Linked DNA regions of Anolis sagrei. The protein of the gene in region 2 purifies or fractionates together with the protein of the main gene of each other region. This does not show direct contact. Links are inferred from orthologs where the notes say so. Each region holds a gene or a part of one and is shown on either strand. Other genes may lie near its edges. The genes, in order: POLE, CIAO1 and CIAO3.

Region 1 (10,224 bases), on a different chromosome or scaffold from region 2:
AACAGCTCTGCCGGATGGTTCCTTGCAGATGCAATATTAGCCGAATAGAAGGAATTTTGTGTGGCCTCTATTGCCATGCCATACGCCCTTAAGTAAAGGCATAGGCGTGTTCGGTTTGACTCGCTCGGTTCTTTCCGCCACACGCTCTCTAGCCACCTCTTTGTTCGCTTCATCTCTACCAACTCCTCGTTGAACCAAGGAGATGGTTTAGCTCGGCTACTTAAGAGGGGGCACTCCGGAGCAATCGTGTCTATTGCCCTAGTCAACTCATTATTCCAATGGGAGACCAGAGCATCAACAGAATCACCAACCGAGGAGACGGAAAAAATCCCCAAGAGTCGTCAGGAATCCCTCTGGATCCCTAAGCCTCCTGGGGCGGACCATCTTAATGGGTCCACCACCCCTGCGGAGGTTGGGAGCTGCAGAAAGTCTAAACCTGATCAGGTGGTGGTCGGTCCATGGCAAAGGAGTGATTGACAGCTCCTCCACACCGCCACCCTCTTCCCAACCCTGACAGAAAACCAAGTCAAGTGTGTGTCCAGCACAGTGGGTAGGGCCAGATACTAGCTGGGACAGCCCCATAGTTGCCATGGTGGCCATGAAGTCCTGAGCCGCCCCAGAAAGGGTGGTCTCTGCATGGACATTGAAGTCCCCCAGCACTATAAGCCGCTGGGACTCCAATGCCAGGCCTGAGACCAACCCTGCAAGCTCAGGTAGGGCGGCTGTGGTGCAGCGGGGTGGTCGGTACACCAACAGCATCCCTATTCTGTCCCGGCCTCCTAACCTTAGGTGGACATATTCAAACATGGTTGACTGTAAGGCAGGGCCCCTGATTAAGGAGATGGAATCTTTATAGACTATTGCAACTCTGCCTCCCCGCCCCCCAGATCTTGGTTGGTGCTGCACAGAGTAGCCTGGTGGGCAAAGCTGGGTGAAATTAACCCCTCCAGCTTCGTCCAACCAGGTCTCTGTGATGCATGCCAGATCTGCCTTTTCATCGAGGATTAAGTCCTGGATGGTTGATGTCTTACCATTGACAGACCTGGCGTTCAACAGCACCACCTTTAATCCGGGAGGGCCATCTACCTTGGTACCCAAGTTTACCATATCGGGAGAACATTTTGGAAATTTCCTCAGGATTTGCTCACGAATTGGCTGAATTGGTTTTTTAACTCTCCCTTTCCCGTATCTCCCCCTCCCCATCATCACTTCTATTGGGGGCCCCCGAGCAATGGAACCCCCCGTCCCTCCATCCCCTTCCGAACTCCACATCCTGGGAATCTAATATTGTTGTATGGTACATCATATTATTATTATTATTACTATTATTATTTTACTCTATTTATTATTATTGGAAGGATACGTAAGCATATTTACATTAAAGAAGGTTAGAATAATGGTTGAATCAGAGTTGGACAGTCTTATGTTGAATTACAGTTTTATGTAAATATTCAAAAACATTTAACCAGCTGATGCCTCAATTAATGGTATCTATTTTTATTTTGAAATTGACCCATAAATGCTGCATTTCTCACCCTCGACTTATACTCAAGTCAATCTGTTTTCCCATTTCTTTGTGGTAAAATTAGATGCCTCAGCTTATATTTGGGTTGGCTTATACTCGAGTATATACGGTAATTCCCACTCTAGATTGCAGGGAGATGAATGCATGAGGATAAAGTGAAACAGTTATGAGTCAAACAAGCTGAAAAAAGCCTCAATTGACATAGGGAGTCCATCATATTCATTTCTTATTGAATGGCAGAAAGGGGTTAGATTGGACAATATTTGGAGTTCCCTTCCAACTCTAGGATTCCCCATACATTAAAGGGAGAGGGACAATCATTCACCTGCATAGGAGCATAAGTCAGGTTGATGAACTGGACTGGGGTCAAGACTTTACAGTTCAACTTCAAGGCCCTCCAGTAACTGGATTGCACCCTTTTGAGCAATGTTTCTCAACCTGGGGGTTGGGACCCCTGGGGGGGGGGGTCACAAGGGGGTGTCAGAGGGGTCACCAAAGACCATCAGAAAACACAGTATTTTCTCTTGGTCAAAGTGATATAGAGCACGATTTTAGGGGGCGCTGTCAAGACAGAGGCCAGCAAGACCCAAAAAGAGGATCCGCTATGCCTGGCAAGTAGGGCTGTCCAACCACGGAAAAATTTGTTTCTAAACTCAATTCGTTTTTAGGGGGGTTTTGCGTTTCGATTTTTAAAAGAATTCCGAAATTTTTCTTTAAAAAAGTTCGATATTTACGAAATTTCGGAAATTACGAAACAATAACAAAACAATTACGAAACAATTACGAATCGATTCATTAATGGCGGACACGATCGTGCAATACACTAAAAAAAACCTCCAAGTGGGACAGGGGGAACTTCTGAAGCTTCCCTCTCCCTCTGTTGTTGACTGTTGGTGTGATAATTATATTTTTTTTCACTGATAAAACAAACAGCAACCCTAAAACTTGCACCAGACATGCGGAAATAATAACGAAACGATTTTGAAACAATTTCGAAACGATTTCGAAACAATTACGAAACGAATTGAAAAATTCGTTTCGTTTTTTAGTTGCTCCTGAATGGTTCAATATCGCTTCGTTATCCAAAAAAATAACAAATTAATAACGAATTACGAAATTAACGAACGAAACCGCTCAGCCCTACTGGCGAGACAATAAGCACTAATAAAAGTTTTCCCTGTTTCCTAATAAATCTCACCAGGATGAAGCAAGGCCACCGAAGTTTATTTTCTATTCCAGCTGAAAAGGATGATGACCGCAGTAAGCTGCCAAAGAGCCGACATGCTCCTGAGCAGGAAAATACAGAATATATAGAGCTGTCAAATTCAAATTTCCCACGCCCGCCCCCCAAAGCTGGCTTTGCTGTGATTGATCGTGACGGCGAGGGGTGGATGCGGCTCCTCCAATCAGAGCCCAGGCCCCACTTCGGCCGCTCAGCTAATGAGGTGAGAGGAGGCACGGCGTAAGGAAAACAATGAAGGAATGTCCAGGTGATTGGATTATGAATGGTCCTTCTCAGACCTGAATGACAAGCGATCAAGGATGATAGCTGTAAGCCCTCTAGTCTCTGACCTGACTATTGATACAGAGTTGAAAGAACACCTTCGTCTGGCCCCACAGAGCCAGCTTATTGTCAAAAGATTGGTGATATTGTCATCCTTGTTAAGATCGTTGGATTTTCTTCTAGGGAGGGGAAATGGCTTTGTTGGAAGAAAGAGCGACATCCCCTTCCCCTCGCAGTTGGGGGGAATGTCCTTTGTGTCAAGTGATTACCATGTCCATGAGTCCTCAATTCCTCAGGTGACCTAGTCAAAAAGACCCTCTGAAGCCCAAGGACCTTACTTAAAAATACCCCTCGTAAAATTCAAGGAGATTACTCTTGCAGGGTTTTTTTTTTTTTAAAAAAATGTTGATTATAAAAATGTTGAAAATTTCCCCTAAAATCTATGAATAATTGAAACGTTCTGAAATTTGATGGACTAACAGTGATCAACGTGTTCTACCGTTGTAGCAAGTTTCACTCCAATAGCTTTAAAGAAGAAGGAGCCCCGGAAGTTTCCCCAATTAGAGTAATTATGCACAATTACTATAACGAAATAGTAACGAAATTTCATTACTCTCGTTATATTCACGAATTTTTCACTACCTATACTTCAGAAACAATTTAGAAACGAAATGTCCACGTCCCCGAGTTTTGTAATGACTTTTGGACTTTTTTTTTAATGGACCGCACATCCCTACTGCAAAGGGAGGGTTGTTGTTCATTCGTTCAGTCGTCTCCCGACTCTTTGTGACCTCATGGACCAGCCCATGCCAGAGCTCCCTGTCGGCTGTCACCACCCCCAGCTCCCTCAAGGTCAGTCCAGTCGCTTCAAGGATGCCATCCATCCATCTTGCCCTTGGTCGGCCCCTCTTCCTTTTACCTTTCACTTTCCCCAGCATGATTGTCTTCTCCAGGCTTTGCTGTCTCCTCATGATGTGGCCAAAGTACTTCAACTTTGTCTCTAGTATCCTTCCCTCCAATGAGCAGTCGGGCTTTATTTCCTGGAGGATGGACTGGTTGGATCTTCTTGCAGTCCAAGGCACTCTCAGCACTTTCCACCAACACCACAGCTCAAAAGCACCGATCTTCCTTCGCTCGGCCTTCCCTAAGGTCCAGCTCTCACATCCGTAGGTGACTACAGGGAATACCATGGCTTTGACTAGCCGGATCTTTGTTGCCAGTCTGATGTTTCTACTCTTTACTATTTTATCAAGACTAGACATTGTTCTCCTCCCAAGAAGTAAGCGTCTTCTGATTTCCTGGCCACAGTCTGCATCTGCAGTAATCTTTGTGCCTAGAAATACAAAGTCTGTCACGGCCTCCACATTTTCTCCCTCTATTTCCCAGTTATCAATCATTCTTGTTGCCATAATCTTGGTTTTTTTTATGTTTAGCTGCAACCCGGCTTTTGCGCTTTCTTCTTTCACCTTGATTAGAAGGCTCCTCAGCTCCTCCTCGCTTTCGGCCATCAGAGTGGTGTCATCTGCATATCTGAGGTTGTTAATGTTTCTTCCAGCAATTTTCACCCCAGCTTTGCATTCATCCAGCCCTGCACATCGCATGATGTGTTCTGCATACAAGTTAAAAAGGTTGGGTGAGAGGATGCAGCCTTGCCGTACGCCTTTCCCAATCTTGAACCAGTCTGTTGTTCCGTGGTCAGTTCTGACTGTTGCTACTTGGTCCTTGTACAGATTCCTCAGGAGAGAGGGAAGGTGGCTTGGGATGCCCATCCCACTAAGAACTTGCCACAATTTATTATGATCCACACAGTCAAAGGCTTTAGAATAGTCAATGAAGCAGAAGTAGATGTTTTTCTGAAACTCCCTGCTTTTCTCCATTATCCAGCGGATATTGGCAATTTGGTCTCTTGTTCCTCTACCTTTTCTAAACCCAGCCTGAACATCTGGCAACTCTCGCTCCATGTATTGCTGGAGTCTTCCTTGCAGGATCTTGAGCATTACCTTACTGGCATGAGAAATAAGGGCCACTGTACGGAAGTTGGAGCAGTCTTTTGCATTTCCCTTTTCTGGTATGGGAGGGAGGGAGCCAGTGCAAAACACCCTGTTTGTGGGAGGGGACACGTCAGTTTCCTTTGGAGGCCGGCAGAGGGCGCTTGTCCTCTTCCTTACGGCGCGAATGGGAAGACTGTAGGACGGGTGGGCGGGGCTACTCCCATCTGTTACTTACCGGAGAAAGGAATGTGATTGGCGCGGGGCACGTGGAGGAAGCAACAGTGATCCCGCGAGCGGGAGGATTCTCGCGCGGTTTCCCCTCAGCGCGGGAAAGTGAAGAAGTTTCGAGGATGGCGACGCGGAGAGGCGGTGGGCGGCGCTGGCGAGCGGAGGCTCCCGCCGGAGAAGGCCAAGGAGAGGCGCCAAAGGGGTGAGGGAACCCAGGGCCAGGGTCTTCAGCCGCTTTGAGCATGTGCAGAGGGCCTTCCCGCTAGGGCGGTGTACTCCTGGGCATGTGCAGAGGGCCTTGCCTCCTTTCCCGGCCCCCCCTTCGCGTTTGGGGCTGAGAGAGCGTGACCCTTTGGGTACAAAGTGGGCTTCAGACCAAAATATTGGGGGAAATTTGAATAAAATGCCGTTTAGGGCAATGAAACATCGGTGGGTTTTGTGTTTACATCAATACTAGCGGTTCCCTGCCACACGTTGCTGTGGCCCAGTCTGTTTATCTGGGAAATAAAGTAATGAGAAAGTGTTGGTTTCTAATATATGTAATTCCTTTCTGCTTGTAAATAGGATTTCTTGCTGTTTCATTGTCAGTGTTGATGTGGAGAGTGTCTGGTTTGCCTACTCTGGAACATGCAACATATTATTGTCCTTCTTTAGGGGTCCCTTTCAAATCTTTGATACTGCATCTGTCATACACATATGTGTGTGTGTGTGTGTGAATGGCTGGATGGCCCTTTGTCAGGAGGGATTTGATTATGTTTTCTTGCCCTGGTGAAGGGAGTTGGACTGGATGGCCTTAAGGCAGCATTTCTCAACCTGGGAAGTCAAGACCCTGGGGGGGGGGGGTGTCACCAGGGGGGAGTCAGAAGGGTCCCCAAAGACCACCAGGAAACACAGTATTTCCTGTTGGTCATGGGGGTTCTGTGTGGGATGTTTGGCCCAATAACTACAACTCCCAAATGTCAAGGTCTATTTCCCCCAAACTCCATCTGTGTTTTGTCGAAGGCTTTCATGGCTGGAATCACTAGGTTCTTGTAGGTTTTTTCGGGCTATAGGGCCATGTTCTAGAGGCATTTCTCCTGACGTTTCGCCTGCAACTATGGCAAGCATCCTCAGACCTCACTACCTCTGAGGCTGCTTGCCATAGATGCAGGCGAAACGTCAGGAGAAATGCCTCTAGAACATGGCCCTATAGCCTGAAAAAACCTACAAGAATCCATCTGTGTTTATATTTGGGCATATTGAGTATTCATGCCAAAATTTGTTCCAGATCCATCATTGTTTGAGTCCACAGTGCTCTCTGGATATAGGTGAACTACAACTCCCAAACTCAAGGTCAATGCCCACCAAACCCTTCCAGTATTTTCTGTTGGCCAGGGGAGTTCTGTGTGCCAAGTCTGGTCCAATTCTATCGTTGGTGGAGTTCAGAATGCTCTTTGATTGAAGGTGAACTATAAATCCCAGCAACTACAACTCCCAAATGACAAAATCATAATTTTTTGATTGATGGTCACTCCTTGTGTAGTGAGACGTTTTGTTGGCAAATTTGGTATGATTTCGCTCATTGGTTCTTTTGTTTTTAAGGTACTCATTATGCACAGAGCATTTATATATATAGAGAGAGAGAGAGAGAGAGACTAGCGGTCCCCTGCCACATGTTGCTGTGGCCCAGTCTGGTGTTCTGGAAAACAAAGTAATGAGAAAATATATGTAATTTCTTTCTGCTTGTCGTTAACAGTATTTCTTGCTGTTCCTTTGCCAGTGTTGATGTGGAAATTGTCTGGTTTGCCTATTCTCGAACATGCAACATATCATTGTCCCTTTCAAATACTGTCAGCAAGTTCAGCAGCTTAGCAGTTTAACCCACTGCGCCACAACAAACACACACATATATAACTGATCTGTATGTATGGGTCTCACTTAAGAGAGAACAGCTGCACATAAATAAATATGGTGATAATAGTAATAACAGTAAGCCATGACCCCATGTCCAATATACATATACTCTCTCTGTGTGTGTATAGTAAAGGTAAAGGTTCCCCCTGACATTAAGTCTAGTTGTGTCCAACTCTGTGTATCTTTATATACTAGCTTGGGGGCGCTGCACGGGTTATTTATATGGCTCGCAGTGGTCTCAGGAAGTTAGTGAAGGTACTGCAAGACACATCATCCATGTTGTCCTCCTCCAAAGAGCACCAGGATGTAGAGTGTGTCATGGGGGCTCTGTGTGCCAAGTTTGGTCTTGATCAGTCATTGGCGAGGGTCGCAGTGGTCTCAGGAAGTGAGTGAAGTGACTGCAAGTCCCATCATCCATTGTCAGATTCTTCCAAACCGCACCAGAATGTAGAGTGGGCCATGCAGGCTCTCTGTATTCATTGTGGTCCTGATCCATCATTGTTGGCAGTTGTAATGGTCTTAGGAAGGGAGTACAGGTATTGCAAGTCCCATAGTCCATGGTGCACCCTCCTCTAAACCACACCAGGATGTAGAGTGCGTCATGGAGACTCGGTGTGCCAACTGTGGTCTTTATCGGTAATTGGATGAGGGTTGCAGTGGTCTCAGGAATTGGGGAAAGGTACTGCAAATCCCATAATCCATGGTCCATCCCCCGCTAAACCCCACCAGGGCATAAAGTGGGTCATAAGAGATCTATGTGCCAAGTTTGGTTTTGATCAGTCATTGCATAAAGGGCACAGAGGTCTCAGAAAGTGAGTGATAGTACTGTAAGTCCCATCATCCATGGTCCATCCTCCTCCAAACTGCAGCAGGACGTAGAGTGGGTCATGCGGGCTCTGTGTGCCAAGTTTGGTCTTGATTGGTCATTAGATGAGCGTTGCAGCAGTCTTGGGAAGTGAGTGGAGGTACCTGAAGTCCCATCATCCATGGTCTGCCCTCATTGAAAGTGCACCAGGATGTAGAGTGGGTCATGGGGGCCCTGTGTGCCAAGTTTGGTCTTGATCAGTCATTGGAGAGGGTCTCAGTGGTCTCAGTAAGTGAGTGAAGTGACTGCAAATCCCATCATCCATCTCCAAATTCTTCCAAACCGCACCAGGATGTAGAGTGGGACATGCGGGCTCTCTGTGCAAATTGTAGTCCTGATCCATCATTGTTGGCAGGTCTAATGGTCTCAGGAAGGGAGTGCAGGTATTGCAAGTCCCATCGTCCATGGTGCATCCTCCTCCAAACCGCACCAGGATGTAGAGTGCGTCATAGAGACTCGCTGTGTCAACTTTGGTCTTTATCGGTAATTGGATGAGGGTTGCAGTGGTCTCAGGAATTGAGGAAAGGCACTGCAAGTCCCATAATCCATGTTCCAAACCCCACCAGGGCATAAAGTGGATCATAAGAGATCTATGTGCCAAGTTTGGTTTTGATCAGTCATTGGTTGAAGGTCACAGAGGTCTCAGAAAGTGAGTGATGGTACTGCAAGTCCCATCATCCATGGTCCATCCTCCTCCAAACTGCAGCAGGACGTAGAGTGGGTCATGCGGGCTCTGTGTGCCAAGTTTAGTCTTGATTAGTCTTTGGATGAATGTTGCTATGGTCTCAGGAAGTGAGTGAAGGTACTGCAAGTCCCATCATCCATGGCCCATCCTCCTCCAAACCGCACCAGGATGTAGAGTGCGTCATGGAGACTCGGTGTGCCAACTTTGGTCTTCATCGGTAATTGGATGAGGGTTGCAGTGGTCTCAGGAATTGAGGAAAGGTACTGCAAGTCCCATAATCCATGGTCCATCCCCTGCCAAACCCCACCAGGGCATAAAGTGGGTCATAAGAGATCTATGTGCCAAGTTTGGTCTTGATCAGTCATTAGATGAAGGTCACAGAGGTCTCAGAAAGTGAGTAATGGTACTGCAAGTACCATCATCCATGGCCCATCCTCCTCCAAACCGCACCAGGATGTAGAGTGCGTCATGGAGACTCGGTGTGCCAACTTTGGTCTTTATCGGTAATTGGATGAGGGTTGCAGTGGTCTCAGGAATTGGGGAAAGGTACTGCAAGTCCCATAATCCATGGTCCATCCCCCGCCAAACCTCACCAGGGCATAAAGTGGGTCATAAGAGATCTATGTGCCAAGTTTGGTCTTGATCAGTCATTGGATGAAGGTCACAGAGGTCTCAGAAAGTGAGTAATGGTACTGCAAGTACCATCATCCATGGTCCACCCTCCTCCAAACTGCAGCAGGATGTAGAGTGGGTAATGGGAGCTCTGTTTGCCAAGTTTGGTCGTGATCAATCATTGGATGCATGTTGCTGTGGTCTCAGCAAGTGAGTGAAGGCACTGCAAGTTCCATCATCTATGGTCCACCCTCCTCCAAACTGCAGTATGATGTAGAGTGGGTCTGTGTGCCAAATTTGATCTTGATCAGTCATTGGATGAGGGTCCCAACGGTCTTGGGAAGTGAGTGGAGGTATTTCAAGTACCATCATGCATTGTCCGCCCTCCTCCAATCTGCACCAGGATATAGAGTGGGTCATGGGGGCTCTTTGTGCCAAGTTTGGTCTTTGTTGGGGGCCCCTGTGGTCTGTGGGAACCCAAGGGTTTGAAAGTACTACAGATCCCATCATGCATTGTCCACCCTCCCTTAAACCTCACCAGGACATAAAGGGGGTCATGGGGGTTATGTTTGCCAAGTTTGGTCTTGTTCAGTCATTGGATGTGGGTTGCAGCGTTCTCGGAAACGAGTGGAGGAACTTCAAGTCCCATCGTCCATGGTCTGCCCTTCTCCAAACCGCAGTAGGATGTAGAGTGGGTTATGGGGGCTCGGCGTGCCAAGTTTGGTCTTTATCAGTGTTTGCCACAGTGGTCCCTGGGAACCAAACCGTCTGAAAGTACTACACATCCCATAATTTGTGGTCCACCTCCCCCAAACCGCACCAGGACATAAAGGGGGTCATGGGGGTTATGTGTGCCAAGTTTGGTCCAGGAGCGTCACCCGTGTTGGTCACAGTGGTCTGTGAAAGTGGCAGCCAATCAGA
Region 2 (10,918 bases):
GAGTCAGGTTCAACACTTGCGATGTGCAGCTTTTGCCTTTCCTGAAGCCAGCTTGCTGTGGAATCAGACATGGTTCTATTTTTTCCGTAATTCTATGCAAAATAAGTCTCTCCAGAACTTTGTACAGGTGGCACAACTGGGAGATTACACTATGTAACAAAATTTGAAAAATGTTCTGTTTCTGGTTTGAAATTGTTCTTCCTGTTTAACTGTGCTCCCTCTGTAGACTTCTTGTCCACAGCTGCATGGTATACGGTAGACTCCTGCAGGGGTGAGAGGATCCCTGTTGTCCTTTGCTGAATGTAGTATTTGTTGGATTTTCTTAGTGGGTGTGAAGATCGTTTGTATGTTGTGTTTCATCAGCTTCCCTAAGTGGTCCGTGGTTCCCTTCATGTATGCCTCAAGCAGACAAGAGTTCTTCCTCCCATCCAAGACGTTATTCCGTAGATATATAAACCTCACTGCCTAGTTTCCTACAGACCTCACAACCTCTGAGGAAGCCTGGCATTGATGTGGCAATGCAGCCCAGACTCACAGCAACCTAGTGATTCAGACCATGAAAGCCTTCGACAACACATTATTATTATTATTATTATTATTATTATTATTTTACTGACACAAAAACACAGTATGTCACAACAAACGTGATCTTTATGCTGGATTTCATATCACAAAATCACAAGTCGAACACTTCTCAAGCGTCTAGGACTGTGTGATGTATTTTCAAATGATGCGCGCAGATCCAAGTCAGGTGTCCTTTTGCAGTTGACAGATCGTGATTTTGTCAATGTTTATTGTTTCCAAATGCCGGCTGAGATATTTTGGCATGGCACGCAGGGTGCCGATGACCACTGGGACCCCCTGTACTGGTTTATGACAGAGCCTTTGCAATTAGATTTTGAGGTCCTGATAACAGCTGAGTTTTTCCTGTTGTTTTTCCTCAATGCGACTGTCACCCGATATGGCTAATCCAAACTCCCCCCCTCCCCCCACAATTGTGATGTCTGGTGTATTGTGTTCCGAAACTTTGTCAGTCTGGATTCGAAAGTCCCACAGTATTTTTGTGTGTTCATTTTCCATTATTATTATTATTATTATTATTATTATATTGCTCTTCCAACCTCACCTTCTTTGCCCCAGATGCGGATGCTGCGGTCCCCTCCGCAGGAAGCCAAGAGGGTCCCCGTTGGGTTCCAGGCCAGGAACCAGCAGCGGGAGTCCGGATGCGCAGCAATGCGGGACAGGAGCACCAAGGAATCTTTCATGGCGGCCCCAAACAGAGGCGCTGGGTCCTAGGAAGGAGATTGCTTCAAAAATTAAACATCATTTTAAAAATATTTGAATCGAGAGATTGCCAAGAAGGGTTTCAACTTGTCAGTCATACATTTCCTGAATGGATGAACGTACAAAGATGGAGCATAACTCAAGGCCAGGTGGTTCATATATACACCACTCACAGCTATGCGTGTGTGTGTGTGTGTATGTGTGTGAGGAGAGAGAGAAAGAGAGTGAAAGCCATACACACATATATATACAGCTCACAGTTGTACACTTGGAAATGTCTCTGTTCTGACTTACATACAAATTCACCTTAAGAACAAACTTACAGAACCTATTTGGGTCATAACTTGGAAGCTTACTGTATAGGTTTTATCTCTGTAGTTTAATATGTTGTATATCATCATAATAAAATACAAATAATTAAAAATTATTCTTATTCTTCCCCACCTCTCTTCAAATTGGGTAAGAAATATAATACATCATTATTGCCATCATCCCACCCACTTCATAGGAAATGTAAAAATGGCAAAGCAGCTGGCCTGGATGATGTACGGATGGAACAAATCAAGAACTTTTGCTGGCTGCTGGAACTGATGAACAACTGCACTGCATCCTGTGAGATCCCCAAAATCTGGAGGAAAGCAAGAGTCATAGCCATCTTGAAACCAGGCAAAGACTGCAATGATAGAAAGCTATAGACCAATCTCCTTGTCATGCCATCTTTACAAAGTTCTGGAGAGACTTATTTTGCATAGAATTATGGAAAAAATAGACCCATGTCTGATTCCACAGCAAGCTGGCTTCAGGAAAGGCAAAAGCTGCACATCGTAAGTGCTGAACCTGACTCAGCACATAGAGGATGGCTTTGAACGGCAGCAGATCACAGGAGCTGTCTTCATAGACCTGTCAGCGGCTTATGATACCGTAAACCACCGCCTCCTCCTGAGAAAAATGTATAATATCACAAAGGATGACCACCTCACCCGCCTCATAAGAAACATGCTACAAAACAGGAGCTTTTTTGTTGAGTTCCAGGGCCAGAGAAGCAGATGGCGGAAACAGAAGAATTGCCTGCCTCAGGGCAGCGTGCTTGCTCCATCCATGTTCAACATTTACACAAATGATCAGCCTCTGCCAGAAGGGACAGGCAGTTTCATCTATGCTGATGACTGTGCCATCACCGCCCAAGCAGGGAGCTTTGAAATGGCTGAACAGGAGCTCTCTTAAGCTTTAGGTGCTCTTACTGCCTATTACAGGGAAAACCAGCTGATTTCTAATCCATCTAAAATGCAGTGGTCTGCTTTTCACCTTAAGAATAGACAAGCATCTCAAGCTCTGCGGATGACCTGGGAAGGAATCCCACTGAAGAACTGCAGCACACCAAAAGACCTGGGAGTCATTCTGGAGTGTGCTGTGACTTACAAGAAGCACTGCTTGAATATCAAGCAAAAAGTGGGTGCTAGAAACGCTGCATTATCACAAGATTTCTAGCCCCACACAACTGGAGAAATTATACTGTTTAGCTAGTATTGCATCACTTGACATCCGCCGAGAAGTAGAAGGCAATATTGAAAGGACCAAGGCAGTGACATCTCTGGCCCATCCTCTGTTCGGATATTAGCCAGCACACCAATGCCTTAAATTAAGAAATAGCTTCCTAAGATCTACAGAGACACTTGCTGGAACACCTCAGCAAGCAAGAGTCCAAAAGTGGCAGGCTCAAACCCAGAACCTCAATTAATGGCTGATACCAAATGAGAGACTCCCTAACAGGCACACAGAAAACTGGGTGACTTGGAAGGTGCTGAATAGACTACGCTCTTGCACCATGAGATGCAGAGCAACATTTATATGCCACCCTTCTCACTCCGAAGGGGACTCAGAGTGGTGTACTAGACATATACACATACAATATATTATATTATTAGTTTAGCACAATATCAGTATTATATCTTACTATATTGTACTACACCATTATATTGTAATATTATTAGTAATATGTTATATATATTATTAGTATTGGTATTATATTGTATTACATTATAATATTATAGCACAGAAGACAAGGTGGAACTGCTTTCCTGGCCCTTCTCTCTTCACTTTTATTTTTTTTATAATATTCTATAATGTTATTTTTATAATAATTATATTATTATCTATATCTATAAAAATGCTCAGTGCATAATGAGTTCCTTAAAAACAAAAGAACCAATGAACGAAATCACACCAAATTTGGCAACAAAATGTGTCACAACACAAGGAGTGACCATCACTCAAAAAAAATATGATTTTGTCATTTGGGAGTTGTAGTTGCTGGGATTTATAGTTCACCTACAATCAAAGAGCATTCTGAACTTGATGGAATTGAACCAAACTTGGCACACAGAACTCCCTTGACCAACAGAAAATACTGGAAGGGTTTGATGGGCATTGACCTGGAGTTTGGGAGTTGTAGTTCACCTACATCCAGAGAGCACTGTGGACTGAATGATGGATCTGGACCAAACTTGGCACAAGCACTCAATACGCCCAAATACGAACACAGATGGAGTTTGGGGGAAATAGACCTTGACATTTGGGAGTTGTAGTCACTGGGATTCACAGTTCACCTAAAATCAAAGAGCATTCTGAAACCCACGAATGACAGAATTGGGCCAAACTTCCCACACAGAACCCCCACGACCAACAGAAAATACTTAAGGCCATCCAATCCAACTCCCTTCATCAGGGCAAGAAAACATAATCAAAGCCCTCCTGACAAAGAGTCATGCAGCCATAGATATAGATAGATATGATTCACACACATGCACAGAGAACTCCTGAAGGAGGACAATTATATGTTGCATGTTCCAGAGTAGGCAAACCAGACACTCTCCACATCAACACTGACAAAGAAACAGCAAGAAATACTGTTTACTCACAAGCAGAAAGAAATTACATATATTAGAAACGAACACTTTCTCATTACTTTATTTTCCAGATCAACAGACCGGGCCACAGCAATGCGTGGCAGGGGATGGCTAGTATATGATATTATTAGCATAATATTACATGGAGCCCCCGGTGGCGCAGTGGGTTAAACCCCTGTGCTGGCAGGATTGAAGACCGACAGGTCGCAGGTTCAAATCCGGGGAGAGGCGGATGAGCTCCCTCTATCAGCTCCAGCTCTTCATGCAGGGACATGAGAGAAGCCTCCCACAAGGATGATAAAACAAATCATCCGGGCGTCCCCTGGGCAACGTCCTTGCAGACGGCCAATTCTCTCACACCAGAAGCGACTTGCAGTTTCTCAGGTCGCTCCTGACACGACAAAAAGTAATATTACATGTTATTTATATATATATATATAAAATATTGTATTATTAGTAGTATTATATTGTATTACATTATAATATTATAAATATATGTATATACAATATATTATACACTATTACATTATATTATTAGTATAGCACAGAAGACAACGTGGAACTGCTTTCCTGGCCCTTCTCTCTTCACTTTATAATAATAATAATAATAATAATAATAATTATTATTATTATTATTATTATTAAAGCCTGACAGCTGTGAGATCTAAGGCTCCATCTAAAATAATATTGTTATCATATATTATTATATTATATTGTTATTATATTATTAAAGCCTGAGCGCCAAGGCTGCATCTATACTACGGAATTAATACAGTTTGATCCCACTTTAACTGCCATGGTTCAACGCTATGGAATCCCAGGAGTCGCCCAGAGAAGTTATCCACCACTTCCTACCTGTGTGTAGGCTGAGGCTTTCTCTGCGCCTGCGCAGCCTCGGAGAGAAGCCAAAAGAGCGCCCGCCGCTATGCCTTTCGGGATTGGTAGTTTCTTTTCCCACCCGTCGCTGTTGTTATTCGTGGCGGAGAAACGACAACTCCCAAGAAGCTTTGCGCGGGGGGAAAAATCCCGATTTAAGGGGACCTGTCCCCTATAATACTAAGTATAATAATACTGATAATATATAATAATCATAATACTTTTTTGATATTTGTATATTTGAAGTTGCATTGCAATGTTTTCCACTGTGAAAAGCTTTAAGTCTCGGCATGGAGAGAGAAAACGGGGTAACAATCTATTTCTATGAGTCTATGAACAACAGGCTGCGTGACGTCACGACGCCAGAGTCGGCTTTCTTTCTCCCTGACGCACGGCGTGTTGACGTCACACGCACGCTCGATCCGCGGAAGGCGGAAACGGAAGCGCTCGTTGGGCTCGTCGGGACCGGAAGGGCCGGGTTGAGGGAGAAAGAGAGCGGTGAGGGGCCCCCATGGCCGGGCTTCGAGGCCCCTGAGGCGGCGGAGGGACCGAGGTGAGGCTCTGGAGTGGGAAGGAGGGAGATGGGAGGAGAGGAGCCGGGCGGGGCCTCTTCCACTCGAGGCCCCTTTGAGAGGCTTCTAGGCCCCATTCCTTTCCCGGCTTGATTATTATACCTGTTTGATACCGCTCTAACTGGTGTGTGTGGGTCATGGGAGAGACTAGCTTGGAGGAAAGGTCAACATCCCATCCCAATGGGGTTTCCTTTGTTGCCGGTGCCCCAGTTTAGAAGATGTTCAGGCGGTTCCTCATCTTCACCCTCAAAAAAAGAAGCACCATTAAAGCTCTGGCAGATATGTGGATGACACCTTCACCATTTGGAGCCATGGAGGAGAAGAAGTAAACAGGTTCCTAGACCACCTCAACAGCATCCACCCAAACATCCAGTTCACCATGAAAAAAGAAAATAGAGGAAAGGGGCCTTTTCTAGAAGTTCTAGTCATCCAGATCAACAATTGGGCCATACGGTTGACAGAAAACCTACACACACAGATAGTTAAAATATAAAAACTCCAACCATGAAAAAGATCTTGGAGTCCTCGTGGACAACAAGTTAAACCTGAGCCAACAATGTCATGTGGCAGCAAAAAAAGCCAATGGGATTTTGTCCTGCATCAATAGGAGCATAGTGTCTAGATCTAGGGAAGTCATGCTACACCTCTATTCCGCCTTGGTTAGACCACACCTGGAATATTGTGTCCAATTCTGGGCACCACAATTGAAGGGAACTTCAGACAAGAAACAATCAGGAACAGCTAATCACCTCTCAACAACGGATTCCCCTAGGCAGTAACAAGCCACACCTAAAAACTGCCAGGACATCAAATGCTAATGAAGGTGGCCAATTGAAACATTCATACCTAGCCCCAACAACAAGAGTCCTTTCTCCCACTCTGGACATCATTCCACAGATATATAAACCTCTCTTATTTAGTTTCCAACAGACCTCACAATCTCTGAGGATGCCTGCCATAGATGTGGGTGAAACGTCGGGAGAGAATGCTTCTAGAACATAGCCATATAGCCCAAAAAACCTACAACAACTCAAAGAGGTGACTATTTGCATGCCATGAAGAGGGCTCTGTCCTGGGCCCAGTTCTGTTCAGGATCTTCATTAAGGACATGGACAAAGATTCTCTGCACTTCTTCCAATCCCCTATTTTAAACTATTCCATGCCTGTTCCTTTTATAATCTGATCATCCCCATCTTAGTAATTCTCCTATTGGTTTTTTTTGTTGTGTATTATGTTAGTAAGTTTTAAGGCTGCTGTTTTTATACCTCTGTGTTTTATTTATTTGTCTCCCTGAAGGGACTTTGGACAGCTTACATAGGGACCAAGCCCAGTCAAATAGAGTTAAAATATACACAATAAAAATGCAAATACATATACAACGTCATAAAAACATAATTAATCATGCAACAACCAGTATCCAAGCATAGTGGACATTTCAGCACCAAGAGGCGAGGTAGAGAGCATGCTTCTTATCAAGTTTGCAGATGGGACCAAATTAGGAGGGAAAGCTAATACTCCAGAGGACAGGATCAGGATGTAAAAGAATCTTAACATATGAGAGAGCCATTTGGCCAAAGCTAACGCAATACATTTCAACAAAGACAAATGTAAGATACGACATTTAGGCAGGAAAAATCAAAAGCAAAGATATAGGATGTGTGACACCTGGCTCAACAACAGCCCACATGAGAAAGATCTTGGAGTCTTTGTGGAGAACAAGATGAACATGAGATGCAGCAGCTATAAAAGCTAATGGGATTTTGGATTGCATCAAAAGGAGTATAGTGTCTAGATCCAGGGAGGTAATATTCAGCTTTGGTCAGACCTCTTTACCTGAAATAACACTGCGTCCAGTTCTGGGCAGCACAATTTTAAAGACATATTGCCTCTAAGTTGGAAGGTGTCCAGAGGAAGGCAACTAAAACCATCAAAGGTCTGGAGACCATGAATAATTCCTGGGAGGTCTTAAAAAACTGGGTCTGTTTAGCCTCAGAAGAGAAGGTTGAGAGGAGACATGGTAGTAAAGGTAAATGTTTTTCCTTGACATGAAATTTAGTTGTGTCTGACTCTGGGGTTGGTGCTCATCTCCATCTCTAAGCCAAAGAGCTGACGTTGTCCGTAGGTGCCTCCAAGGTTATATGGCCAGCATGAATGCATGGAGTGCTGCTACTTTCTCTCCAGAGCGGTACCTATTAATCTACTTACATTTGCATGTTTTCAAACTGCTAAGGTTGAAGCTGGGGCCAACAGTGGAAACTCACCCCACTCCCCAGATTCGAACCGCCAACGTTTCAGTCAGCAAGTTCAGCAGCTCAGCAGTTTAACCTGCTGTGTCACCAGGGGGTCCTGGAGACATGATAGGCATGTATAAATATGTAAAAGGATGTCCTGAGAGAGAGGGAGATGCTTGTTTTCTGCTGCCCTGCAGACTAGGGTTTGAACATTGGATTCAAATTACATGAGAAGAGATTCCACCTGAACATGTGGAAGAATTTCCTGACCATGCGAGCTGTTCAGCAGTGGAACCCTATCTCGGAGTCTGGTGGAAGGTCCTTCCTTGGAAGCTTTTAAACAGAGGCTGAATGGCCATCTGTCAAGGGTACCTCGATTGTGCTTTTCCTGCATGGCAGGGGTTTGGACTAGATGGCCCTTGGGGTCTCTTCCAACTCTATGATTCTATGTCACCTCACTTTCTGTCCCTGGGAACATTGGTTTTTGGGAAAATTGGCTTGTTATGGAAACAAGGATTGGAGATAAACTTCAGTGGAAACCCATTTCCCCCAAGATATTAACTCTTCCAAGAGTGAATTTCCCTTCCCTCGAGGGGCAGATTCTTCTCATTTCCTGTCATCTCAGCCTCGTTCTTACCTAGGAGTCATTTGTAAGCCAGATGCTTGTGAATCGGGGACTGCCTGTACTTAAAATTTTTATATAAACACTAGCTGCCCCCTGCCACGCATTGCTGTGGCCCATTCTGATGACCTGGAAAATACTATTGGCTTGTGAGTAAACAGTATTTCTTGTCAGTGTTGATGTAGAGATTATCTGGTTTGCTTACTCTAGAACATGCAACATATCATTATCCTTCTTTAGAGTTCCCTTTGAAATCTATGATACTATATCTGGCATATGTGTGTGTGTGTGAATCATATCTATTTATCTATATCTAGACTGGATGACTCTCAGGAGGGTTTTGATTATGTTTTCTTGCCCTGGGGAAAGGTGTTGGACTGGATGGCCTTTAGACAGCATTTCTCAATCTGGTGGTCGGGACCCCTGGGGGGGGGTTGTGAGGGGGTCTCAGAAGGGTCTCAGAAGACCACCAGAAATCACAGTATTTTCTGTTTGTCATGGGGGTTCTGTATGGAAAGTTTGGCCCAATTCTATCATTGGTGGGGTTCAGAATGCTCTTTGATTGTAGGTGAACTATAAATCCCAGCAAATACAACTCTCAAATGTCAAGGTCTATTTTCCTCAAACTCCACCAGTGTTTACACTTGAGTATTCGTGCCAAGTTTGAATCATATCCATCATTGTTTGAGTCTAAAGTGCTGTCTGGATGTAGGTGAACTGCAACTCCAAAACTCAAGGTCACGCCCACCAAACCCTTCCAGTATTTTCTGTTGTTTCATGGGAGTTCTGTGTGCCAAGTTTGGTTCAATTCCATTGTTGGTGGAGTTCAGAGTTTTCTTTGATTTTAGGTGAACAATAAATCCCAGCAACTACAACTCCCAAATGACAAAATCATAATTTTTAGAGTGATGGTCACTCCTTGTGTTGTGAGACCTTTTGTTGCCAAATTTGGTGTGATTTCGTGCATTGGTTCTTTTGTTTTTAAGGTACTCATTACGCACAGAGCATTTTTATATATATAGATGAGTAATATTCATATGAACAATTTCTCTACTTTGGTAAAGGTTCACATTCTTTTAAATTCACATTTAGCTCATTGCCTTCTCAATTTAACAATCTGTTATGTCTGCAGGCCTTCAGCTTTCTCCGGACCTGGACCCAAACGCATTGACAAGATCTCGCTGAAGGCCTCGTTGTCATCTCAATTCCTTCTGGACACAATCGTGTGTCTTTAGACTCTTTGCCTTGATCTCGGAAGGGAGCGTCTGGCCCCATGTACACCCCTAGTGGCTCGGTGCTGCCTGGTGGGCGCCGGCGGAGAGGCCAGGATGGGAGCACCTTGCCAAAGCAGCCGGAGAGGAGCCTGGCTTCGGCTTTGCCTGGCGCACTCTCCATCACTGCCCTTTGCACTGCACTGGCGGAGCCTGCCTGGCTACGGATTCATGGGGGCACTTGCGCGCGCCAGGAGCTGGGCGTCGCTGATGTGCTCGGATACGTTGACCCCGAGTTACTCAAAGGTGAGAGGGACATGGGGGATGGGGTGAGCTTTAAAATGAACATTTGAAGCAATCTTTGGAAAAACAGCACAATATTTTAAGGGTAATAACAATATAGGCAGTCCCCAGATTGCGAACAAGATGTGGCGTAATGTAAAATAAACCAAGTGTACTTCATGTTGGATCAGCCCACACACTACCTTGCCAGAGAAAGAAAATATGCCATGCATATGAACATTGAAGAACAAGTAGTGAACAACATGTGTACAGTATGATCAGGTTCATACAACATGTGTACAGTATGATCAGGTTCACCAACTCACATATTGTCCTTCTATGAGAAATTCAAAATGGCCCTTTCTGTGTCCATATGAGTAACCTTTCTTGAACATTGTTTCCATCCTAAATATCTTGGTGTCACCTTAGATCGAACACTAGCATATAGGAAACACTGCTTGAACACCAAGCACAAAGTACCTGCCAAGTATGTCTGCCCTGTCTGGCATAGGTCTGCCTACACAAAACAGGTGAACATAGCATTGAATGAAACATGCAGAATAATCACAGGATGTCTTAAACCTACACCTGTTGATAAACTCTACAAGCTAGCTGGCATTGCCCCCCCCCCCCCCCCCCCAATGTGCGATGGGAAGTTGCTACTAAATGTGAGAGAAATAAGGTTGAACACTGAAAGCCATCCACTACATGGCTACTAGCCTCCTCCCAGCAGTCTCAAATCTAGGAAAAGCTTTATGAGAACTACCACTCCTCTTGGCATCCCTCCAGCAACAGCAAGGGTATCCCTCTGGGCAGCTAAATCAGGAAATCCCAACTGGATGGCCCCCCATGAGGGTCTTCCTCCAGGGGCAAACAAACAGTGGGCAACCTGGAAGTCCTTAAATACACTCAGAAGCGGATTGGGCAGATCAAA
Region 3 (11,106 bases), on a different chromosome or scaffold from region 2:
GTATTTTCCAATGATACGTGCAGATCCAAGTAAGGTGGCCTTTTGCAGTTGACAGATCATGATTTTTGTCAATGTTTATTGTTTCCAAATGCCAGAAACCATATTATTATTATTGTTGTTGTTATTATTATTCTATTTTATTATTTATATATTTTTTGTCGTGTCAGGAGCGACTTGAGAAACTGCAAGTCGCTACTGTTGTGGGAGAATTGGCCATCTGCAAGGACGTTGCCCAGGGGATGCCTGGATGATTTGATGTTTTTATCATCCTTGTGGGAGGCTTCTCTCATGTTCCTGCATGAGGAGCTGGAGCTGATAGAGGGAGCTCATCCGCCTCTCCCGGGATTCAAACCTGCAACCTGTCTGTCTTCAGTCCTGCCTGCACAGGGGTTTAACCCACTGCGCCACCAGGGGCTCCATTATTTATAATAATAATAATAGTTTAATTAATTAATTAATTAATATTACATTATATTGTTATTATTATTTTGTTGTTGTTGTTGTTTATAAATGAAGCCTGAACTCTCCCTCTAGATGCAAAGATAACTAAAGTTGCAGTACTTTTGACACCTCTTTTAGGAGAAAAAGTCAACAATAACAAAATGGAAGAAAGGAGAAAAAAAAAGACGGTATTTCCAGTACAGAGACTCCATTAAAGAGAAGCCACAACTGCCCTGAATTTGCAAGCCCTGAGCTGGGGCTATTGAATTTGCTACCATATTGAAGGGAAAAACCTCATTTACCTAATCTTTTGAAGAAGGCAGTCAGTTTCTTGGCTGTGTCCAAAGGAGTCAATTGAAACCTTGCCGCCAAAGAAGCTCTGGATTGAGGCGAGACAGAAACTACCACCAGCTTCCGGGAAGCAGGATCTAATGTCTGTAAAATAATTATTTAAAAAATTAAAATAAATATTAATAATAATAATTCCCATTTATTATTATTACAATTCTTTTTCTAATCGTTACCATTATCATGACTATTTATATTTATTATAATTTATGATTATGATTATCCAGCTTCTTCTTTCTAAAAAAGAGACTCAAAGCGGTTCCCAGTAAAGCCAATACAATTCAAACCTAAACATTTTACCAACCACTTTGTTCTCAGGGTTAAGGCCCACCCATGGCTTGACCCCATGCCCTTTGTCCCCTCCACCCACCCAGGACTTCTGCTCCCATCATCCATAGTTATCCTCATCTGCCGCAGACCTTATTGGCGTCCAAGACCCGGAGGAGCTCTTCGTGGCTTTGCTGTGCAACCAAGACGCTTTCGGCCGAAGTGACGCATCCACTACAAGCCAAGCAGTCATTGAGCGTAATCTTGGCCTTCTCCAGTTTGCGCGAACGGCCGTCCTGAAAGGAAGAAACAGAGCACACTGAGACCTTGTAACACCGCATTTTATTTATGGAGATGTGTTGTTATTATTTTTATGGCTCCATAGCTTGTCATCTGAAAGGGAGCTGGTTATTGATAATCAATACAACACTGTCCAGTATGCAACACAATTACACTGGGGAAAGGGGGGGGGGGCAGATTACCGGATCCACTTGGACGTAGGTTCCATCGTCCTCGATGCGGATCTTAGCGATTGCTTTTCCAGGCTTCTTGTCTACTTTGATGGGTTTGATGCAGTCCTGAAAGAGACCAAGGCAGGACAGCAATGAATGAGGCCAATAAGGCAAAATACAAGCCCAAGAATTAAGCAGAAAGAACCTGCATGTGAGGTTTGGTTGACTTATCATGACATATATACATGACATATATATATACATGACATATATATGGTAATATGGAAGGTAACAGCGCTCCATTAAGTTTGCTGGCCACATGACCTTGGAGGTGTCTACGGACAACGCTGGCTCTTCAGCTTAGAAATGGAGATAAGCACCAATCCCCACAGTCAGAGAAGACTTCATTTAATGTCAGGGGAAAACCTTTACTGGGTTGTTGTAAAAGCCTTCGACAATACATTGAAAACCTTTACCTTTACTATATACAAACACAGGCTGAGTAAGCTTACTACAGCAACAATAATTTATATGATTACATTATTATGATTGCATACACACTGAGGTTGAGGAAACATGCATTATTATTATTTATCTAATCCATTTTTCTCTCTGTATCAAGACCCAAAGCGGCTCACATCCATAACAACACAATTTAAAACCTGTAAAATATAAATATTAAAATGTATAGACACTGCTGTTTTTTCTGTTAAAAATTGTTGTATGCTCTATATGTATATATGTTTTACACACACACACACATATTAAAAGATATATACCTATATAGAGAATTGTAGAATTATATATATAGTTGTATGTTTTATATTTTATTCTCTCTATATATTTGTTTTATTCTATGTGTGTATAAAGAATTATAGAATTATATATAGTTATATATAGTTGTATAGTGTGTGCTTTATTATTTCTCTCTATTTATATATATGTTTTATTCTCTCTATATATGTTTTACTATATATGTATATATAATTATAGAATTAAATATATATTTGTATGTTGCATGCTATATTCTCTATACGTGTGTGTGTGTTCTATTATATATATAGAGAGAGAGAATGATAGAATTATATATATGGCTGTATGTTGCATGTTTTATTCTCTTTATATATATGTTTTATTATATATGTATATAGAGAGAATTATAGAATTGTGTATATAGTTTTATGTTGCATGTTTTATTCTCTCTATATATGTGTGTGTGTTTTATTAAATATATATAAATTATACAAATATATATGTTTGTATGTTGCATGTTTTATTCTCTCTCTCTATATATATATGTTTTATTAAATATATATAAAATTATGCAATTATATGTGTGTGTGTGTGTTGCATGTTATATTCTCTCTCTTTCTCTCTCTTGACATATGTTTTATGCAATTATATTTATTTATTTATTTATTTATTAACTTTATTTATACCCCGCTAACATCTCCCGAAGGACTCGATGCGGCTTACAAAGGCCACGGCCACCAACAAAACAACAGCATACAAATACAACAATAAAACTAATAAAGCAAATAATAAAACATCAAGCAAAACAATAAAACACTAAAAACAATGACACCATGATGCATTTAAAACCTAAGGCTGGGCCAAATGTAATGGACAATTTAAAAAGTGTTGGACATGACAGGTGAAATGTAGAGGTTTTTGGCGGTAGGTGCAATGTACAGACAATCCTAAATCTCTAACAAAGTGCATTTGGGACATGATGCTAGGAGTTTCCTATTCTGGAAAGGCACACTGGAACAGCCAGGTCTTCAGGCTCTTCCTAAAGACTGCCAATGTTGGGGCTTGTCTGATGTCCTTGGGGAGAGAGTTCCAGAGTTGGGGGGCTACCACAGAGAAGGCCCTGTCCCTCGTTCCCATGTTGCATGTTTTATTCTCTCTCTATATATATATGTGTGTGTGTGGTTTATCATATATATAAAGAGAGAGAATTATAGAATTGTATATATAGTTGTTGTTTTTTCCATGTCAGGAGCAACTTGTGAAACTGCAAGTCACTTCTGGTGTGAGATAATTGTCCGTCTGCAAGGATGTTGCCCAGGGGATGCCTGAATGTTTTGATGTTTTACCATCCTTGTGGGAGGCTTCTCTCATGTCCCTGCATGGGGAGCTGGAGCTGATAGAGGGAGCTCATCTGCACTCTCCCCAGATTTGAACATCCGACCTGTCAGTCTTCAGTCCTGCTGGCACAAGGGTTTAACCCATTGCGCCACCGCTTGTATGTTGCAGGTTTTATTCTCTCTCTCTCTATATATATATATATATAGATAGATATGTGTGTGTGTGTTTTATTATATATGTATATACAGAGAGTTATACAATTATATATATAGATGTATGTTGTATTTTATTACATAGATAGAAAACATACACATATACTGAATTATAATATAAAATGAAACATATAGGGAGAGAATTATAGTTATAACTATAAAACCAAAAAGCTATTAAAAGTAGTCAGTTAAAATCACATTAAAACAAACGATGGGCAAGGAACCAGCAGCAAGATCACACTGTCTCAGCCTCTCATGGGAGCCTTTTAGGATAGAATATACAATATACTCAACTTCCCTTAAAATCATACCGATTTCCCCAGTATCTCCTTCTCTGGACCGAGGGAAGCCCATTCAAGGCGCCTGTCCCCCAAACTGTCCTACCTCGCAGGGCTGTATGGGAGGCTTGGCAGAAATATTGAGCTCGAATGGCGGACAAGGCTTCCAGGAGCTCTGGCAGAGGACAAGGAGAGCCCCTTTTAGGGGCCACGGTCGCCCACTCCCCCCGTTCACTCGCCCTTCACCTGCGAGGGTCCGATGAAGTCGTCCAAGTCGGTCAGCTGCAGGACTCCGCTGAAGGGCGACGCCATCTTGGGCAGGTCCGCCCTCCCTCTGTGCGTACGCGCCGCAAAGCGCTAGGACGCGCTGTCGCAAAAGGGAGTGTCGTCGTGAAAGAGACAGGGATGGGAAGAACATAGATGTAGGCAGAGGAGTTGAAATGGATGGATGAGAGAGAGAGAGACTAGATAGATATAGATAGATAGATGCAAGAGAGGGAGAGAGAGATAGGTAGACTAGATAGATATACAGATGAGAGACACACAGACTAGATAGATAGATGAGAGACTTGATAGATACATACCTGAGAGACAGACTAGATAGGCAAATTTATGAGAGAGATAGACTAGATAGATAGATAGATGAGAGAGACTAGATAGAAAGATAGGTAGACAGACACATAAGAGAGAGACAGACTTGATAGATAGATGAGAGACTAGATAGATAGATAGATAGATAGATGAGAGAAAGACAGACTTGATAGATGAGAGACTAGCTGAGAGAAAGAGACAGATGAGAGATAGACAGACTTGACAGATAGATGAGAGACTAGATAGATAGATAGATAGATGAGAAAGATAAACAGACTTGATAGATGAGAGAGAGAGAGAGACTTGATAGACAGCTGAGAGAGAGAGATAGGCAGATAGATGAGATAGAGAGATAGACAGACTAGATAGATAGACAGATATATAGATGAGAGATAGACTCAGATAGCAAGATAGATGAGATAGACTTGATAGATAGATAGATAGATAGATAGATAAGAGAGAGACTAGATAGATAGACAGATAAATGAGAGAGATAGACTTGATAGATGAGAGAGAGACCACTTGATAGATAGCTGAGAGAGAGACTAGATAGATAGGCAGATAGATGAGATAGAGAGATAGACAGACTAGATAGACAGACAGACAGATAGATAGATGAGAGATAGATAGATAGATAGACAGACAGACACAGACAGATAGATGAGATAGACTTGATAGATGAAAGAGAGACAGACTTGATAGACAGATAGCTGAGAGAAAGAGAGACTAGATAGGCAGATAGCTGAGAGAGATAGACAGACTAGATAGATAGATAGACGAGAGAGACTCGATAGATAGGCAGACAGACAGATAGATGAGAGAGATAGACTTGACAGATGAGAGAGACTAGATAGACAGACAGATAGATGAAATAGACTTGATAGATAGATGAGAGAGAGACTTGATAGACAGATAGCTGAGAGAGAAAGAAAGAGACTAGATAGATAGGCAGATTGAGAGAGAGAGATGCGAGAGAGATAGTTAGATAGATATAGATAGATAGGTAGATAGATAGATAGATAGATAGATGAGAGAGACAGACAGACAGACTGACTAGATAGATAGAATAAGATAGATAGATAGATAGATAGATAGATAGATGAGAGAGAGAGAGACTCTCTGGATGTCAGTGAACTACAACTCCCAGCATCCAATGTGAATTCCTTCCAAACTCTCCAGTATTCAAAGTTGCTTGTGATGGGTCTGTGTGCCAGATTTGGTCCTGATCCACCATCAGTGGGAGTCACAGTGATCTCTGAATGCAGGTGAACTACAAATCCCATAATGCTGGGTCAATACAAACAAAGATAGATAGGAACATATATTCACTTTTATTATATAGATCAGCTATGGGCAAACCCAGGCCCTCCAGGTGTTTTGGACCAGTAGGCTGTTAGGAATTGTGGGAGTTGTAGTCCAAAACACCTGGAGGGGCCAAGTTTACCCATGCCTGGATATAGAATATTTATTTCGGACATTTGTATCCTGTCCTATCTCGACCTCCGCAGAGGGACTCGGGGCGGCTAACAACCGGCACACCATGGTGCCACAACCATGTGGGGATCACAGAAAAGAAGGGATCACAGAAGCCAAGACATGCAAAATATTGATGCAAACCTTTTATTCTTTCCAACTGCTCCAACTTCAACCCCAATTTAGCCAAGGTTTGCAAAGAAAGCCCTTTGTTCGGCCGGTGCCAGTCCATCACCGTATCATCAGCTATTGCTTTGTTTACTTTTTTTTTTTGACATTATTATTACTTATTACATGGAAGGTCGAACAGCGCCATGGAGTTACCCAAAGTCATGCTATTGTCTGGGTGCCATCCCATCCCGTCCCATCTTTGATTGCATTGGTATATTATGGGTTATTTCCCCTCTCCTCTCCTTAGGTTTGAATGGGAGGCAGGCGAGTGGGAAGGTGAAAGGCAGGCAGAAGGGACTGATAGCAGTTATGACTCGTATTACTCTCTCTATCCTTTGCAGTTGGGTTCTTTCACTTCCAATGGCAGAATTCGTACCTTATGCTTGCAATTTTTAATTGCATTTTTAAATCCTGAGGGTGTGTGTGTGTGTATGTGTGTGTATTCAAATACTCTCTCCATCCATATATAGGATAGGGTATTTGAATCAAGATTGTGGCATTTTCTTTAAAGCATTTATGGATTTATCTGATCATATATATATCTATATATATATCTACACACATGTATTTACATACATACATGTATATATAAAGAGAAGGGAATCAGAAATCATGGATTCCCCTGATCTACATATCATCATCATCAAAATAGTTTCATCATCAAATACATATATATATGAATTCTGATCACACACACACACATGTATCATATATGTGATCAAGATTGTGGTATTTTTAAACCATTCATGGACTCCCCAGTATATATATATGTGTGTGTATATATATATTCATATATATATGAATTCATATATATATGAATTCTGATCATACACACACACATGTATCATATATGTGTGTGTGGCATTTTTAAAGCATTCATGGACTCCCCAGGATTTCTGGATACACACACATACACAAACACATATATATCTATGATCAGAATTCATGGATTTCCAATCCACGAATCCTGTTTACACACACACGCACATATGTGTGTGTATATCAGCTATATGATCAAGTCCATAGCATTTTTAAAGCCTTCATGGACTCCTCAGGATTTCTGGATATATCCCATATATTCTCTCTTTCTATACATACATACACACACACACACACACACACACACATATGGAGAGAGAGTTCGAATCAAAACCATGGCATATTTTTTCAAGCATTCTTGGCCTCCCCTGAAATGTCCACTTGCTCTTGTGAGCTATTTTGCCCCATTCTCCCTGCAAAATGTCTCTCTGTTCAGTCTGAAGGACCCCAAGGTGGATTTGGATTCACAGTGTGATTTCTTTCAGCAATTTGCGAACACGAGTTGCGTAAGGCGGGCCAATCCCATGCTAGGATAGTCAGCCGCCTTCCGCCACTAGAGGGACCGCTTCTGCAATGCCATTCAAAGGGATTGGCTCTCCCTTTCGCTGGGGTTTCATAGAGGCCCATGATCCTTGATGGAGAGCGTTGAGATGGGAAGCCTTCTGCTGCAAGCTGGGGAGAGAGGGGCAATTTTAGAGAAGTTGAAGGTGTTTAGTGTCTCCCTATTGACCTCTGGATGGGGTCAGCTGAACTCCGCACAACTTGCGAAACAGGAAAACCTCTTGCTTTGACCCATTCCACCTTCATCCCGAAGAAATGATGGATTCCAAATTCAGTGTCTCCCATTAAATTCTTGCTTTAGATCCCATTGGAGAGCTCTTCAACACTTCTTCATGGGAATCCTTCTGGGATCCATCGCCAAACGCCTGGGATTCCAGTCCAGAGTGCATCAGAGGTAATATGAGGTCGTCCATATTTGGCATCACTAAAACTTTCTGGGAAAGGAAATAAAAGGAATACCTAAATGTAATATCATTGATGCAATATCTATTATTGCCTGATCCATACCTGTTGTTATTGTGCGCCTTCAAGCTGTTTGTGAATCTGATCGTCCCAGGATTAAACCCTGGGCCCCATCTATACTGCCATTTGACACAGTTTCATAATGCAATTTAATTGCTTTGACCTGCATTATACGAGAGTTTACACTGTCATATAATGCTTGTTGTTGTTGTTGTTGTTGTTGTTGTTGTTGTCTCTCCATTTTTAAAATACCACGGTTCTATGGTGTGCTCTGGGTAGAAACTGCTATTATTATTATTATTATTATTATTATTATTATTATTATTACAAGATGAGTGCACAGCAGACAAGATCCTCTGCTGGCTGTTGTATTGGATCACATGTCGGACACTTCCAAAGTGTCTAGAGTTATTATTATTATTTTACTGACACAAAAACACAGTATGTCACAGCAAATGAGATCTATATGCTGGATTTCTATTATTATTATTTTCCCATTTCAGGATCCACTTTGACCAAGCAGGTACCTGGAATTCATGCTGAAGCTTCTTCTCAATCCATTCGGTGACATGGATGAAAGTGACCTCCCGTTCTCCCAATTTGGGGCGGACTTTCAGGTCCAGCTGCGGAGGGATGCGGAAGCTATACCTGGAACCAGGTAAGAGAAAAAGGATCCTATTTATTTCCTTTAAGCCTGGATATACATTCTTGCATGAGCTGGAAGGGATCCCCAAGGGCCATCCAGTCCAACTCATTTCTGCCAGACAGGACACCATCCAACTCCTCCCGACAGGTGGCCATTCAGCCTCATTGACATGAGCAGGTTCATGGAGAAATAGGGTTATGGAATAATAGAACTGCAGAGTTGAAAGGAACCCCCAAGAGCCATCCAGTCCAACCCATTCTGCCAGGAAGACACAATCCAAGCATCCCCAACAGATGGCCATCCAGACTCCGTACCAGACCCGGTCCGTAGGTGGTGGCGGGATGTTGACGGTCAAGGTCCCCGTCAGCTCCTGGACCTCGACAGTCAACAGCAGCGGCGTGTTGGAGACCTCCTCAATCTTCTTCTTGATGAACTCATTCTCAGTGGCCTTCTGGAAGTACTTGGACTTGGCAATCTTGTCCACGAAGCGCAGGATCTTCCGGCTGGTGCTGTGGCCGCCAAGGTGGCTGGAAGGGAACAAGAGCATGATGCGACCGCTAAAAAGGCCAACGCAATTCTAGGCTGCATCAACAACAACAATGTACACATTGAGACAGAGGGCATATATAAGCCCCCAAAGCCCAGCAGTCCATTTTAAAGTGTGAATTCTAAACTTACCTTTTGTTATCTTCAGAGTCATTTTTTGTTATGGGTATTTTAATCGTGTTCTTATTTTATTTGTTTGTTTTAAATTCAAATAAATCCCTTCTGTCCTCTCCTGGCACTTATGGGAAGGGCACAGATATAGGATTTTGGCCAAGGTCCCTTTTGGGAAGATGCTGCCCAATGGGAACTCATTGCAATAATAATGTCCCGTATTATCCCAAGCCTACCTCTCCATCCCGGGAGGGGCCCCCCTTTCTCCTGGGCCCCCCAAAGAAGTCTCCACTGAAGGAGGGGCGTCTTCTTCCTCGGAAGAACCAGCGCTGGAGGATTCGGCCTCGCTGTCGGCCAGCAAGACCAAGCGGGGCCTGACTCTGCAAGGAAGCAGCAAGGAGAGAGAAATGAGTGACCTGAGGCCTAAAGACAGAGCCCTGACCTCGGGCAGCAGCATGTATTTGCGGAAGCTTCCTGGGATTAAGACCATGACCCACATCTAGGATCAAGGAGGATTTCCCTTCTGCAAGTAGGCAATTGCTCTGTCCGGAAAAGGAAACCTCTCAAGTCAATGGACAAATAGCCCTGGATTTTAGCCTACTCTGCCTCACCAAATTGCAAACCCCAGGATTCTATAGCAGTATATTATTATTATTATTATTATTATTATTATTATTATTATTATTATTAGATGCTTGGCATTGGTCCAGGCTTTTTCTCCTCCTCCTCCTCCACTTTATTATTAGATACCTGGCATCAGCATCATCAGATGTCTGGCATTGTTCCAGACTTATTCTACCATCTCCTCCTCCTCCTCCTCCTCCTCCTCCTCCTCCTCCTCCTCCTCCTCCTCTTCTTCTTCTTCTTCCTCTTCTTTGCCTGGCATTGGTCCAGGCTTCTCCTTCTTCTCTTCCCTCTTCTTCTCCTTCTTATAATTAGATGCCTGCCATCATCATCATCATTATTAGATGCCTGGCACTGGACCAGGCTTCTCCTCCTCCGCTTGCTTTATTATTAGATGTCTGGCATCATCATCATTATTAATGTCAATTCCTGACATTGTTCCAGGCTGCTACTTCTTTCCTCCTCCTCCTCCTTATTAGAAGCCTGGAATAATAATAATAATAAATAATATAAATAAATAACAATAATTATTTGGTGCCTCGCATTGTTTCAGGATTCTTCTTCTTCTATGCCTGGAATAATAACAATAATAATAATAATTATTATTAGATGCCTGGTTCTGCTGCTGCTTTTATTATTATTGTTCCAGTCTGCTGCTTCTTCTTCTGGTTCTGCTGCTTCTTCTTCTTCTTCTTCTTCTTCTTCTTCTTCTTCTTCCTCCTCCTCCTCCTCTCCTCCTCCTCCTCCTCCTCCTCTTCCTCTCCTCCTCCTCCTTCTTATTATTATATGATGCCTGGCATTGTTTCAGGCTTCTTCTCCTTCTCATCCTCCTTCTCCTTCTTATTAGATGCCTGGCATCATCATCATCATCATCATCATTATTTGGTCCTGGCAGCTTTTGCTTCTGCTTCAATGTCTGACGTTGTTCCAGGTATCACTATAACAACAACAACAACAACAACAACAGCAACAGCAACAGCAACAGCAACAGCAACAGCAACAGCAACACGAAA

The links.
Region 1: the proteins of CIAO1 (region 2) and POLE purify together in Homo sapiens (affinity purification with western blotting; 3 studies listed by BioGRID, with this or other methods). This does not show direct contact. The link is inferred for Anolis sagrei from reciprocal best matches to the Homo sapiens genes CIAO1 and POLE.
Region 3: the proteins of CIAO1 (region 2) and CIAO3 purify together in Homo sapiens (affinity purification with western blotting; 3 studies listed by BioGRID and IntAct, with this or other methods). This does not show direct contact. The link is inferred for Anolis sagrei from reciprocal best matches to the Homo sapiens genes CIAO1 and CIAO3.

What each region holds. Positions count from the first base shown.
Region 1 is NC_090034.1:47,407,579-47,417,802, forward strand, and holds the start of POLE (DNA polymerase epsilon catalytic subunit A), read left to right. Parts: upstream 1-5,303; 5' UTR 5,304-5,370; coding exon 5,371-5,450; intron 5,451-10,224. UniProt on the Homo sapiens protein: Catalytic component of the DNA polymerase epsilon complex. Participates in chromosomal DNA replication.
Region 2 is NC_090027.1:21,928,633-21,939,550, forward strand, and holds the start of CIAO1 (probable cytosolic iron-sulfur protein assembly protein CIAO1), read right to left. Parts: upstream 5,101-10,918; 5' UTR 5,046-5,100; intron 1,293-5,045; 5' UTR 1,266-1,292; coding exon 1,127-1,265; intron 1-1,126. Other genes in the region: TMEM127 (transmembrane protein 127), read left to right, coding at 9,765-10,008. UniProt on the Homo sapiens protein: Key component of the cytosolic iron-sulfur protein assembly (CIA) complex, a multiprotein complex that mediates the incorporation of iron-sulfur cluster into extramitochondrial Fe/S proteins.
Region 3 is NC_090034.1:20,513,945-20,525,050, forward strand, and holds the start of CIAO3 (cytosolic iron-sulfur assembly component 3), read right to left. Parts: upstream 4,541-11,106; 5' UTR 4,402-4,540; coding exon 4,336-4,401; intron 1,635-4,335; coding exon 1,539-1,634; intron 1,353-1,538; coding exon 1,209-1,352; intron 877-1,208; coding exon 744-876; intron 1-743. Other genes in the region: testis-expressed protein 2-like, read right to left, coding at 7,989-8,138, 8,694-8,814, 9,127-9,339, 9,706-9,849.